2 linked regions of the Callithrix jacchus genome follow. Each later gene encodes a partner of the first gene's protein in a complex. Links are inferred from orthologs where the notes say so. Each region holds a gene or a part of one and is shown in the gene's direction. Other genes may lie near its edges.

What was found. The genes of interacting proteins can lie anywhere in the genome.
Region 2: the proteins of DLAT (region 1) and PDK3 are in contact, whole or in part, in a crystal structure (PDB 1Y8N), measured with the Homo sapiens proteins. The link is inferred for Callithrix jacchus from reciprocal best matches to the Homo sapiens genes DLAT and PDK3. Residues at the interface, in NP_001922.2 of Homo sapiens: Ala225, Leu226, Ser227, Pro228, Thr229, Glu248, Gly249, Lys259, Ala260, Ile262, Glu265; in NP_005382.1 of Homo sapiens: Arg21, Phe22, Ser23, Pro24, Ser25, Pro26, Leu27, Phe48, Lys51, Val55, Asn373, Lys374, Ser375, Arg378.

Annotation. Positions count from the first base shown.
Region 1 is NC_133511.1:11,758,931-11,766,011, forward strand, and holds part of DLAT (dihydrolipoyllysine-residue acetyltransferase component of pyruvate dehydrogenase complex, mitochondrial), read left to right. Parts: intron 1-1,233; exon of another isoform or gene 1,234-1,336; intron 1,337-4,159; coding exon 4,160-4,322; intron 4,323-5,046; coding exon 5,047-5,183; intron 5,184-6,273; coding exon 6,274-6,403; 3' UTR 6,404-7,081.
Region 2 is NC_133524.1:25,191,957-25,199,596, forward strand, and holds the start of PDK3 (pyruvate dehydrogenase kinase, isozyme 3), read left to right. Parts: upstream 1-3,131; 5' UTR 3,132-3,324; coding exon 3,325-3,430; intron 3,431-7,640. UniProt on the Homo sapiens protein: Inhibits pyruvate dehydrogenase activity by phosphorylation of the E1 subunit PDHA1, and thereby regulates glucose metabolism and aerobic respiration. Can also phosphorylate PDHA2.

The DNA of each region.
Region 1 (7,081 bases):
AGGGTGAAGCAGCAAATGCTGATGTAGAAGCTGCAGCGAATTATTCTGAAGATATAGCTAAGGTAATTGAGGAAAGCCTTATATTGGAAGAAGATACCATCCAGATATCTAGAAGTCCATACCTTGCTTGTTAGCAGGTAATGCAGCTGGTGACTTCAAGTTGAGGCCAGTGCTCATTTACCATTCTGAAAATCCTAGGGTCCTTAAGAATTATTCTAAATCTGCTCTGCTTGTGCTGTATATGGAACAACAAAGCCTGACAATACAACTATTTACAGCATCGTCTACTGAATATTTTAAGCCCACTGGTGAGGCCTACTGCTCAGAAAAAAGATGCCTTTCAAAATATATGCTTGTAGACAATGTACCTGCTCATCCAAGAGCTCTGATGGACATGTACAAGGAAATTGAGGGTTTTTTTTGAGATGGAGTGTCACTCTGTCACCCAGGCTGGAGTGCAGTGGGACAATCTCAGCTTACTACAACCTCTGCCTCCCAGCCTCCCAGGTTCAAACAGTTCTCCTGCCTCAACCTCCTGAGTAGCTGGGATTACAGGCACATGCCAACAGGCCCAGCTAATTTTAAGTAGAGATGGGGTCTCACCATGTTAGCCAGGCTGGTCTCAAACTCCTGACCTCAGGTGATCTGCCTGCCTCGGCCTCTCAGAGTTCTGGGATTATAGGCATGAGCCAATGCGCCCAGCCTAGACTGAGGTTACTTTCATGTCTGCTAACATAGCATCCATGCGGTAGCCCATGGATCAAGAAGTAATTTTGACTTGTGAGTCTTATTATTTAAGAAATTCATTTCATAAGGCTATAGTTGCCATACATAGTATTCCTGTGATGGATCTGAGCAAAGGTAAATTGAAAACCTTCTGGAAAGGATTCATCATTTTATAAGAACATTCATGTAGCCAGGCGCGGTGGCTTACGCCTGTAATCTCAGCACTTTGGGAGGCCGAGACCGGCAGATCACCTGAGGTTGGGAGTTCAAGACCCAGCCTGACCAACATGGAGAAAGACCATCTCTACTAAAAATACAAAATCAGCCAGGCATGGTGTATATGCCTGTAATCCCAGCTACTTGGGGGGCTGAGGCCAGAGAATTGCTTGAACTCAGGAGGCAGAGGTTGCAGTGAGCTGAGATTGCGCCATTGCACTCCAGCTTGGGCATCACAAGCGTAACTCTGTCTCCAAAAAAAAAAAAAAAAAAAAAAAAAAGAACATTCATGTCCTTTGGCAGCACATATACTAAAATTGGAATGACAGACAATTAATTAGCATGGCCCCTGTACAGGGATGATAGTCAAATTCATGAAGCATTCCATATATTTTTTTAAAACATTCATGATTCATAAGAGGATATCAAAATATTGCCATTTACAACAGTTTGGAAGAAGCTACTTCCAGCCGTCATAGGTAACTTTGAGATGTTCAAATAGTTTAGTGGAGGAAGTAACTGCAGATGTTGGTAGAAATAGCAAGAGAACTAGAACTAGAAGTGGAGCCTGAAGATGGGAATGAATTGCTGCCATCTCATGAGAAAACTTGAATGGATGAATAGTTGCTTCTTATGGATAGGCAAAGAAAGTAGTTTCTCGAACTGGAATCTACTGGTAAAGAGGCAGTGAACATGGTTGAAATTACAACAGGATTTAGAATATTCTATGAATTTAGTTGACAAAGCAACAGCAGGATTTCAGAGCATTGACTCTAGCTTTGAAAGCAGTTCCATGGTTAAACTGCTATACAGCATTGCATGCTACAAAGAAATCTTTTGTAAAAAGAAGTCAGTCAGTGGGCAAACTATTGTTAGCTTAAGAGGCCGCTGCAGCTGCTCAGTCCTCAGCAGCCATAACCCTCATCTGTCGGCAGCCATTAACATCAAGGCAAGATCTACCAGCGAAAAAATTGCAGTTCACTAAAAGTTCAGATGATTTTTAGCATATTTTAGCAATAGAGTATTTTTAAATTAAGGTATATACATTGGTTTTTTTGCTAGCCATTATGCTGTTGCACTCCTAATAGACAACAGTGTAGTGTTAAGTATAACTTTCATATTTTCTGGGAAATCAGAAAATTCGTGTGACTCACTTTATTGCAATATTGGTGGTCTGGAATCGAACCTGCAATATCAAGGTATTTCTATGCTTAGGTGAAAGGATTGAGGCTGTCTGTTCGTTCTAACCAAACACCAGTCATTTACTTGTTGATACAGCCATTCAACATGTATTATTGGATTCAGCGGTCAACAATATCGGGAACACTATCCTTACTGTCTCAACCGGAAGATGATCAAACAAGCAATATTATAATAACTTAATCAAGAAAGCAGTATTTGCTGTGTGACACCTTGGCGAGAGTCCTGTGATAATTAATGAGTTATACACTGTTTTTGTTAGAGCAGGTCCCCTGTGTTAGTTTGCAAGTGACAAAATTCTGCTCCAGCCAACTTAGGCAGATTGGGGATTTAGTACCCATTGAGCTGGAGGTCTTTGGAAGCAGAGCTGTGCCTTTGTGTGAAGCCTTAACTTTTTCTCGATTGCAGAATACCAGCAGGGGCCCTTATACAGACCCCAAGGAGACCGTGGATAAAATCCATGAGCTTGTGAACTTCAGTGGGAGTGGTGGGGAAATCACTTGTTTTTGTTTTTGTTTTTTTTTTTACTAACCTCTACTAACATTTAGCATTTCTTCCTTTTATAAATGTAGAGAACAGATACAATGTTAACAGTACTTGTGTCTGGTGACCAATAAAAATCAGTTATTTTCATATCACATTGTAAATGTATATATCTCAAAATATTATTTTGTTCATCCCTGCTTCAAAATGATAACCATTATTAGACCTGCACCAAGGTCTTCTTATTGTATGAATGCAGAAGCACATTTGTCGTAATTTTGCTTTTTGAACAGTTTGATAACTGGATTTCATTATGGTTTCTGTTTCTTTTGTTAGTAATTTGAGTATTTTCAGTGTTAAGGTATTCTGAGATAAGATCTAAATGCATAGGGTCACCTGCTGTAGAAAAGATTGGGACTCCTTACTTGATGACAGTAAAAGATGTGATACTGTGAAAAAAAAAGATTGGGAACCCCTGCTTTTATGTTCTTCTGAGGTACCACACTATGTGTCCACTTCTGTTTCTTGCTACAATGCAGTTGTTTTCCCTCCATTTTTCCTTTCATCTGCTCAGACTACCTGCAGAGACTCAACTCCAGCCAATGTACTGCCACTCAAAATCCAAGGAGTTCTAGTTGGTGGGGTTTTTTTCCCAGCTACATTCATGTGTGGGTCAAGGCAGATGGTTTTTTGTTGTTGTTGTTGTTGTTTTTTGGTGGGGCGAGGGCAGGTGGTGGTTGGGGACAGAGTCTTGCTCTGCTGCCCAGGCAGGAGTACAGTGGCACGATCTCAGCTCATTGCAAACTCCACCTCCCAGGTTCAAGCAATTCTCCTGCTTCAGCCTCCTGAGTAGCTGGGACTACAGGTGTGCACCACCATGCCCAGCTAGCTTTTGTATTTTTAGTAGAGACAGAGTTTTGCCATGTTGGCCAGCCTGGTCTCAAACTCCTGACTTCAAATGATCCACCTGCCTTGGCCTCCCAAAGTGCTGGGATTACAGGCATGAACCATTGTTCCCAGCCCTCTGATTCATTTTAATTTTAATTTTTTTTTTTTTGAGACGGAGTTTCGCTGTTGTTACCCAGACTGGAGTGCAATGGCAGGATCTCGGCTCACCGCAACCTCCGCCTCTTGGGTTCAAGCAATTCTGCCTCAGCCTCCCGAGTAGCTGAGACTACAGGCGCACACCACCATGCCCAGCTAATTTTTGTATTTTTAGTAGAGACGAGATTTCACCTTGTTGACCAGGATGGTCTCGATCTCTTGACCTTGTGATCCACCTGCCTCGGCCTCCCAAAGTGCCGGGATTATAGGCGTGAGCCACTGCGCCCGGCCTGATTCATTTTTAATAACTGAAAGTCAAGGAGAGGGGACAACAAAATGTAAAAATTAGGATAGATATCATCTTTGGCTAAACAGTAACAGACACATTGGTTGAAAAAGTTTTGGAAGTAAATAATATTCTTGTTAACCTGGCACATAAGCTCTTAATAAACACTTTTTGATTATTTCTATTTCTTTTTCTTTTAAACAGAAATCATGTTGTTGATGTCAGTGTTGCAGTCAGTACCCCTGCAGGACTCATCACCCCTATTGTGTTTAATGCACATACGAAAGGACTGGAAACCATTGCTAATGATGTTATTTCTTTAGCAAGCAAAGCAAGAGAGGGTAAACTGCAGCCACACGAATTCCAGGTACAGTATTAATTATTGCTTTCTAATTACATTATTTTTAAGGTTTGCATAATGCATTTATTGCATTTTTCACCTTTTGATTCTGCCACATAATTATTTTTATTTTTTAATTTTTTGAGACAGCGTCTAACTCTTGTCATCTAGGCTGGAGTGCAGTGGTGTAATCTCGGCTCACTGCAACCTCCACCTCCCAGGTTCAAGTAATTCTCCTGCCTCAGCCTCCTGAGTAGCTGGGATTACAGGCACATGCCACCACACCTGGCTAATTTTTTTGTGTGTTTATTTTTAGCAGAGATGGGGTTTTGATCTGAAGAGAAACCAGAGTATTCATAGAAATAGGGTTTCACTGTGTTGGCCAGGCTGGTCTTGAACTCCTGACCTCAAATGATCCACCCACCTCAGCCTCCCAAAATGCTGGGATTACAGGTGTGGGCCACCACGCCTGGCCTGCCGTGTAATTCTTACTGACACACGGTTCTGAAAATAAAATCTCAAACTCTATTGCATATACAAAAGGAGACATTGTCTGATAATAAGACATTTTCCAGGTGACTTTTTTGTTCATATTGTAATGCTTGTATATTTTCAGTACTGTGTATCCCATTCAGGCCTTTCCTAAGACCTTGCACCTTTTTAGCTTAAAGTCTTTTCACAGAACATTTGTCATGTTTTCTGATTTATGTTGACAAACAGTGTAATCTATTTTTAATATTTTTTCCTCTAGGGCGGCACTTTTACGATCTCCAATCTAGGAATGTTTGGAATTAAGAATTTCTCTGCTATTATTAACCCACCTCAAGCATGTATTTTGGCAATTGGTGCTTCAGAGGATAAACTGGTTCCAGCAGATAATGAAAAAGGGTAAGTGCCAAACTGGAGGGGAAGTCATAAGCTAATTTTCATTACATTATACACTTGTCCTGTGGCATCTTCAGGATTGGCTCTAGGAACCCTCAAATACCACAGTTCACAATGCGTAAGTCCCTGACATCAGATGATGTAGTGTTTGCATATAACCTACACATCCTTCTGTATACTTTAATCTCTGCATATCATACAACACTGAATAGCACTTCATTCATGTGGATCCTCTAGTACCCAGGATGCAGCAAATTCAAGGTTTGCTTACTGGAAATTTGTGGAATTGTTTACTTTTCAGAAATTTGGGTCCATGGTCAGTTTATGGATTTGGAACCCATGGATAGATATATGGAGGGCCAACCATACCTATTTTTGAGTATCAGTGTTTTTGTTTGTTTGTTTGAGATGGAGTCTCAATCACTCTGTCACCCAGATGGGAGTGCAGTGGTGCCATCTCAGCTCACTGCAATCTCCACCTCCCAGGTTTAAGAAATTCTCTGGCCTCAGCCTCCTGAATAGTTGGGATTACAGGCATGCACTACCATGCTTTGGCTAATTTTTGTATTTTAGTAGACATGGGGTGGGGTTTCACCACGTTGGCCAGGCTGATCTTGAACTCCTGACCTCAAGTGATCTGCTCGCCTTGGCTTCCCAAACTGCTGGGATAACAGGAATGAGCCACCGTGCCCAGCCAGAGTTTCATTTTTTGAGGTGGAAAGCCTTTATCCTAGGTGAGGAGTCAGCATGCTTTTTCTTAGTCGTAAGTAAGTATTTTAGGCTTTCTGAGACATATGGCCTCTGTTGCATTGTCATGTGAAAGAAGGCATAAACAATACATAAATGAATTGCAGTAAACCTTTACTTATAAAAACTTAGAGGGCAGGATTTGGCTCATTGCCCACCTATACTGCAGGTATATGGTCTGTTTCTTCAAGCTATTAATTTGAGCTAAAGGTATAGGAGACTGGAAGAGTAGATACGAAATATTGCCTGGTTGGGATTTGAAGGTAAGAGTGAGCATTTGGGTGGTTACTGGCTGAAATGCAGTCTTTTCTTTCAGAATATCTAAAATGTTTTTATCTTTTTCCAGGTTCGATGTGGCTAGCATGATGTCTGTTACACTCAGTTGTGATCACCGGGTGGTGGATGGAGCAGTTGGAGCCCAGTGGCTTGCTGAGTTTAGAAAGTACCTTGAAAAACCTATCACCATGTTGTTGTAACTAACTCAAGAATTTCTAAACTCTCCCAGGTCACACTCATTCATTCTTATCAAGATATTTATATGTTATTAAACAGGTGGTTTTTATTTTAAAGTTAAGCAGTTATTTTTATTATTGAGTCTGTCCAGATAAGTTATTTATAATGGGCATTACTGAATTTTTAAAATGCCAATTACACCCAAATATTGTGCACATTTAATAATCAGACACCAGATTTTTAGCTGTATACTCCTAGTTAAGGGACATGTGGACTTGCCTAGCCCTTTGGTGATAAGTACATCTACTAGGAAATGTAGGATAGGTAGGATTGTGGTTCCCTAAAGACAAGTACATAAAGGTAACCTGGGTGAAACCTTGAAGTTCTGAAACTTAATTTCCTAAAATGTTCTCCTTAAGATGTGAGAGAAAGAGAAATCAGGAAAATTAGTTCTCTTGGAGGAAGGGCTTGAATTGAAGCTTTACTTTAGAATTTAACCTTGGTTTAAAATTTTCCATTACATGATCTTTGTTTACCATGAATGGGAAGGGTAGAAAACTTCAAGGAAAATAAGTGAAATTTTAAGAGTCAACATTTTCTTAGAGGTCTTCAGCTGATTGTTTATTTTTCTATAACCTGTACATGGTTGTTTCCCCCCTTGAGATAATGATCTAAATATAAACAAGCTACCTGATATGAGA
Region 2 (7,640 bases), on another chromosome or scaffold:
TCAGGTATTTTGTAGGACCCCAGTTATTTTACAAACTAATCTCTGAAGTGAGATCTTATCACTTCTGGCCACTTTTTTTTTTTAATATAGCCTACGGCAGGCACCCTGTATTCCTAGACAGTCTCCCATCCAAGTGCTATCAAGGCCCGACCCTGCTTAGCTTCTGAGATCAGATGAGATCGGGCGCGTTCAGGGCGATATGGCCGTAGATCTGGCCACACACTTCTTTGTTAGAAGCTTTAGCTAAGTCTAACTCACACTCAAACCGAGAGGAATTAAGCTCCATCTCTTGAGGAGTATCAAAGAATTTGTGGCCATATCTTTAAAACCCCCATTGCTTGCTAAAACATAGATCTGCTTCAGTAGGGCTGCAGGGGGTCTAAGAGTTTGCATTTATCTCCCTTCCTGCCTTCCTTCTCTCTCTCTCTCTCTCTCTCTCTCTTGCATGCGTGCATTTTCTTTCCTTTTTTTTTTTGTACACCGGGTCTCACTTTGTCACCCAGGCTGGTGTGCAGTGGTGCAATCTTGGCTCACTGCAGCCTCCACCTCCTGAGCTGAAGCAATCCTCCCATCTCAGCCCCCCCCAAGTAGTTGGGACTACAGGAGTGCACTACCATGCCCTGCTAATATTTTTGTATTTTTAGTAGAGACGAGTTTTGCCATATTGCCTAGGCTGGTCTCCAACTTCTGAGCTCAAGCAACCCGTTGGCCTCTGCCTCCCAGAACGCTAGGATTAGACAGGCATGAGCCACTGCACCTGGCCCGAGTTTGCATTTCGAACAAGTTCTCACGTGATGCTGCTGCCGCAGGTCTAGGGATTTCACTTTTGAGAGCCACAGCAAGTGGGGTCTGCACAAGACCTTGGTGTGTACAAGGAGTTGAAAAGACGTCATCAAGATCTATTTATCAACACACTGGTTTCACTTCTGGACTCTGCAAGTTATCATGAAACTATTAGGTAAAAATATATGCATTGCTGTATACAAGAGGTGCAATACCTTGTATTTATATTAGATATGATTAATTTGATTTGACTGTCACAAATGCCAGGGAGAGAAATCAGGTATCTTAATCTGACACAAAAATAACTGCAACACAGTCTAGGTGACTGTAGCCTTGTTTAAGCACATTTTACATTATATCGGGTTCTTTCATATTGTTCCCAACTTCTAGAACTTTGTCACATTTTGAAGAAGCAGAAATAAAATTAGGCACACAAAAGTTTAAATAAATCAACAGAATGGATTTTAAGTAGCATTTTGTGCAGTGGAAAAGGAAGAAGTGAAACAAGTGATTTGGAAGCTCAGAAAGATCAGCCCTTTGTTGCTTAGGCTGAGAAAATCTCCCTCTCCACAAATATCCAGCTTCTTCCTGCTCACCAACAACTGTCACCAATTACTGCTCCACTTCCAGGTAGCACCTGAGAGTCACTTTGGACACCATAGGCCACTGGTCTTCTCTTCGTCCTGCCCATGCACACAACTGGATTGCTTAGTTCTTCTGGTAATACTCCTGGTTAAAGAAGTTGTTAGTATGTCTTTTTTTTATCCTTTGGTTCGATTTGAATGGAAAAGACATGGTAGTCTCCATACCACTGCCAAGATGACCAATATGTTCTTGAAAATCCAGAAGTCTAGAAGACCACTGGATGTCTTTTACCATGTATGTTACTTTTCTTTAAATTCAGAGTAGACATGCAACTATTTTATTAAGCAAAGAACTGGCTGCATAAACATCCAATGAGGGCACAAAAGCTAAATAGCTACCCACCAATAATCTCATTCAGTGAGAAACCAGTCCAAGTAAAGACCCATGGAGTGGCTTCCAGTCACATTTGTACCTTGCCTTAAAGAACGTTCTTCCCGTCCTCTTAATTATGTATGTTTATGTTTACATATTGCCAAAAAAAAAAAAAAAGCCAAGGTTTGGTGGAAATGGCTAAAGCAAGCAGTACTTTATTCATTCATAATAGGAAATAACAATTTCATATATTGAGTCCTGAGGTTTTTTTTTTTTTTTTTTAGAGGCGGGTCTGGGTATGTTGCCTAGGCAGATCTTGAACTTCTGGGCTCAAGTGATCCTCCCACCTCCGCCTGCAGAGTCGTTGGGACTATAGGTGCATGCCACCATGCCAGGCTCTCAAGTTTACTTGAGAATACCCAACACTGTGTAAGCATAGACTCCTGTCCAAAAGTGGTAGTGAATTGTGAAGCAGTCAGGGAGCTGTCCTATGGTGTTGGTGGTAGAGAAGAGGTATGAAAGAGAGTGTCGGTGAGCTTATTTGATTCTTTCCAATGGTAGTAGTGGGGCTGGGGGGCATCAAACAGAATCAGTGACCTTGCAGTTATATTGTCCAGTGACATTGGGGGTGTATGGGGGGTGTTAGTGACCCTTGATCTCACAATGGATCCCGTCCAATGGTGGTGGGGAGGGGACATGAAACGCAACCAGTGACTTATCTTGTGTGGGAAGAAGGGGCAAGGAACCAGGAAACAAGAGAATCAGGGACCTAACAATCCCGTCCAAAGGTGTTCTCTCGGGAGTGAGGTGGGGGTGGAGCTGGGGGGCCCATGTCATAAGAGTCAGTGAAATGACAATTAAGGCTGTCCAATGGTAGGAAGCGGTCAGAAAATAGAACCTGTGAGGTTTCATTAAATTCTGTCCAAAAGTGGCAGTAGTGATGGAGGGCATAAAACAGTCTAGTTAGGCTGTAAAATCTAAGTGGCAAGATGCAGTGAACATCTGGAACTGCAAGTCCTCCTCCCAGAAAAGGCGCCTGCGGTTGAGAAGGCTTTTGAGCAGCACGGAGGATCGAATTCCTGGCTCCCGGCCTCTTCCCAGTCCGCGGGCACCTCGGCTACCTTTTAGGCAGCGGAGAACCCTGTCAGGGGCGGAGCCGAAAGCGGCTACACTTGCTGGGCTGGGCTGGGCTGGGCTGGGCTGAGCCCCAAGAGCCAGGGCGGGGGGCTAGGGCGCCGCGCCGCACTCCGCAACAACATAAAAAAACGTCACAGAGGCGGTGGCGGCCAATCAGTGTAGGGCGCGCGCGGCCGCGTGCCCCTCGCGCTCCACGCAGCCCCTCGCGCGCCGCGTACGTGCAACAAAAGGCTCCGCCTAACGAGGCGGAGCTTAGGGAAGCGGCGGGCGGCCGGTGGCGGTCCGGGAGCTGCTGCTGCTTCTGCGGCGGCTGCACCGGCGGTGCCGAGGCCGAGACGGAGGCCGGGGTGCGGGCTTAGCGAACGTGCGAGGTCCTGGCGGCTCGGCTGCGCCAGCCCTTGCGGCTACTCGAGCGTCTCGGCGGGTCTGTGAGCCGCCCCGGCGAGGATGCGGCTGTTCCGGTGGCTGCTGAAGCAGCCGGTGCCCAAGCAGATCGAGCGCTACTCGCGCTTTTCGCCGTCGCCGCTCTCCATCAAACAGTTCCTGGACTTCGGTGAGTACGGGGCCAAGGGTCCCCATGGGCCCGGGGCTGCCGCCATTCGGGCTGCCACCCTGGGTCTCCGCGGCTTTGGGGTAAAGCCCGTGGGAATCGCAGGCAGGGCTAGGGGATATCCGGGGAGGGGGGGCTCTCCTGGGGTTCGGATTTCGGGGCGCGGAGGGGCAGGGCCTGGCACCCTCACACCGAGCCTGGGACTTACCGGAGACACAGAAACCGCGTCTCGTTGCAGGACCCTCATCGCTGGCGAGACTCCCCAAACCTACCATCGTTAACTTCAAATCTCCTTGACACTAAACCTCACAGCCCTTAAAACTTCAGAACGAGATGTGGGTGGCTTTTCAATGTTTTTATGTTTAGATTTTTCTTTTTTGGCTGGGTAAGAACTGTTTAGAAATACCTTGAGGTTGAATAGACTATGCAGTGGCATTTTGTTCCTTTTCTGGTCTAAAGTGTTACAGTGTGGCCAGAGTGGCAGGACTCGAACTGTTGCCTTCATAAGGTTACGTTAAAGCAATTAGAGGCCTGGACTGCACACGCGGTAGATGCTTGGGAAGAGCGGACGCGTGGGTTCCTAGCATCAGCAGGGTCTAATACAACTCTGGTTTCAGTGCCAACACCTTTCGTTTCTCTTCTCACTTGGTGTCCCACCCCATTCTTCCTGTCCGGTGGGCTGGTGGGCGGCTTTCACGGATTATCCGGGCTCCCAGCCTGCCTCAGGCCTAGCTGAGATGGGAATAGATTCCACACCTTCTGTTAACTGGATCACGTTTCCTCAGAAAACCAAGGAGCTGGTTGTGAAACACTTAAAAGTAAAACGCATGCATTGAGGTATGAGAATAGAACTCAGCATCCCTGAAGGAAAATCAAATCCAGCAGCCAAGATGTTCTACGCTCTTGAGGGGAAATAGTGGGCTATCTGTTAATGAATTTTATGTAAACGTCAAAGGTGTCAGTGATAGTGTAGTTGGCCATAAAAACTAAAGTGCAGAGTAGGTAGAACATTTGAGGAAGACCTGATATGCAAAAAGTGATCTCCATACTTTTATTATTTTTTTAAGCGAGGTTAGCAAGAGAGGAATAGGTTAAAGTTGAGACCAAATGAAAATTTTAGAAACCTCTTTGCCAGAGGATGATGATGAAAGTCAAAGTTCAATGAGATGTTGATCTTTGCATCTTAAAACTTCACTCCCAAAAGCTATTGGTAGTTTTACTTACCATCTTGAGAATTATAGAGGTTTGAGGCAGTTTCTGACTTTAGAGTTTAGAAAATGTTGCTGTTGATATAAATATAGGCAAGTTTTCCATCTTTAATTTATGGTTTAGGGAAGATTCTGAAGGTATCAGCCTTTCATTAACATAAAGTGACACAGGGTAATTCACAATAAAAGGAACAAAAGGAATCCAGAAACTCCTAGTTCCTTCCACTCTCAAAGTTTTAAGTGATAGGTCCAGTAGCTGGCCAAAATTTTGGTAAGTTAAATTTCCATAGCAGCTAGTGTCTACCCAGGGTAATAGGTATCTTGGCAAGGATGTTGAGTGAGTAGGAAAACCACAGGGGGGATAGTATTAGTATGGAAAACCTGTGGGGCCAGTATCTGGAAACAAATGTTCTATCCTGGCTCTGCCACTAATTCAGAACGTGGCCTTGAGTAAGTGACCAAACGTCACTTGGAGCTCATTTTCCTCATTAATAAAACGTGTAGACTGTATCAGGCGATCTTTAAAAGCACAGTTCACAACTATACAATTGTGATTTCAAAGGAAAAGGCATGAGGTTTCTTAAAGAAAACTACCAAATCTTTTGATAGCTATTTCCCATAAAAGTCTTCTGACCTATTTTGAGAGGGGCGGAGGGATTCACTAAGGTCATGAGAGAAGCATAATAATTTAATGTTTTCCTTATAAGGAAGTGCACAGAAGTGCTAGATTTCATTGTAGTGGAATTTGCTAGAAATGACAAGGCTAGCTTGTAACACCCAGAGATGAATCAGGTGCTAACCAGCCTATCTTTAATGACAGGACAACTAAAAGAAGGAAGTTGTCGCAAAAAGGCCATCTCTACTTCTACTTTTCTCTTAGTTCTGTCTCTTGATAGCAGTTCTATTTTGGCAAGTGATGTGGGAGTTGGAGAATTCAGAATGGGTGTTGGATATTTTTAAGGTGAGGAGAGAGGAGGAGTGAAGAGGCTTCATGTCCCTGTATGATTGGAGAAAACTGCGGGAGAGGGCCAACTCGGATGCTGAAAGCACCAAGTAGCAGGCAGTGGATAAGCATGAGATGAGGACTGTGACAAATTCCTGGTATATGGCTAGCTCCAAAGGGGCAGCTGATTGGCACCAATTCAGGATATTTTAAGAGAACTTTGGCATAAACAAAATACACAGATGGATCAAGTTGGGCCACAGGCTGCTAATTTATGAACTTTATGCCTTTCTCCATGGGTACTTTACAAATGGGACATACATTTCGACTATAGTAACTAGACAGGGACCAGAGAAAGAAGATACGCAGGATGTACATAGTTTGCTACAACCTTGGTAAATAGCTTTCTTAATGTGAGTGTATGGCACATCAGTAAAGAAGGAGATTATTTCCTATATTTAAAAGTGGCAGCTCAAACTGGTGGTTACTTCAGAAGCAGCAATTTTATTTTAAAGCAGGGGTTCCCAAACCTCAGCACTCTTGCCATTTCAGGCCAGGTAATTTTGGTAGGAGCAGTCTTGTACACTGTGGGAAGTTGAGCTACATTCCTGGCCTCTCCCCACTAGATGCCATGAACACTTCCCACTCCAAGTTGTGACAACCAAACATGTCTTCAGTCATTGACAAATGTCCCCTGGGGGAGCAAAATGTCCTCTGGACTTCTGTTGAACCGCTGTTTGGAAGTGTTTACATGAGTGGTTTTCAGGCCAGGGCCTCATACCCGGAATTTTTGTTGTAAATGGTCTGGGGGTGCTGGGGGTGGAGTGCGGAGCATTGGTATTTTTAGGAGAGCCCTGTGTCATTCTAAAGCATATCCAGGGTTAGGCACCATTCATCAGATGATCTTCTGTCTGATCTACTGGTCCCCTTTCATCTATGTGCAGTATTTCTCTATGCCTTTTAAAATAATGAAAGTTTCTTGAACTCCATCTTGACTTGAAATATAGCCTGCCACATAGTTAGCAAATATAGCAAGAATAACAAGTATTCTAAATGGTTTTTAAATTTATAATGGCAATAGTACTTTGCAAAGGATGGCGTTTTTTAAAATGAGATTTTCTTTGGGGCCTAAGATTACAGTCACATGGTTCCAAATTCAGAAGATGCAAAAGGACTTTTCTGTAAAAGCCTGCTTCCCACTTCTGCCTACTGGCCTCCCTTCTTTTGCTTAAATGGCAGTTTATACCTTTGTCTGTACCTTGTTTTTTGAGGTTAATACCTTAGAGAGACCTTTCTATATCTGTACCCGCATAACTTTGTTTTTCTTTTTTATGGCTTCTGAGAATTTGGTTATATGAATGTACCAGAATTTATTAGCCAACTCTCCTTATTGATGTCTAGTTAATAGGTTGTTTCCAGTCTTTGCTATGACAACCTTCCCTCCAGTGAATTATTGTCTGCATTGTAATTTCATGCATGTCCGGGTGTATATATAGGACAGATTCCTAAATGTGGGACTGCTGCGTCAACAGGTATGTGCATTTGTAATTTTGACAAACATTGTCAAATTGCTTTCCATAAACATTGTCTGTTTTCCCTCTTGCTTGAAGTTTCTGAGAGTCCCTATTTTCCTACGCCTTTACCACATTATTGTCAAACTTTTGATAGGTGAAAAAATGGTATATCTAGATAGAAGATGTCTTTATTTTAGTTTTTATTATAGAAATTTAAAAAAAACGTAGGCAGTTGCCTTTAATTCAGTGCTTTGAGAGGACAAGGCAGAGGATGGCTTGAGACTAGGAGTTTGAGACCAGCCTGGGCAATATAGCGAGATCCTGTTGCTACAAAATAAAAAAATTAGCCGGGAGTGGTGTTGGCACACACCTGGGTCCTAGCTACTCGGGAGGCTGAGGCAGGAGGATGGCTCGAGCCCAGATTGAAGCTGCAGTGAGCTGTGTTTGTGCCACTGCACTCCAGCCTGGGGGATGTACATGCATAGGTAAATACATCCATAAATTTTATTGTGTATTATTAAGGTATACAGCATGATGTTATGGGATAT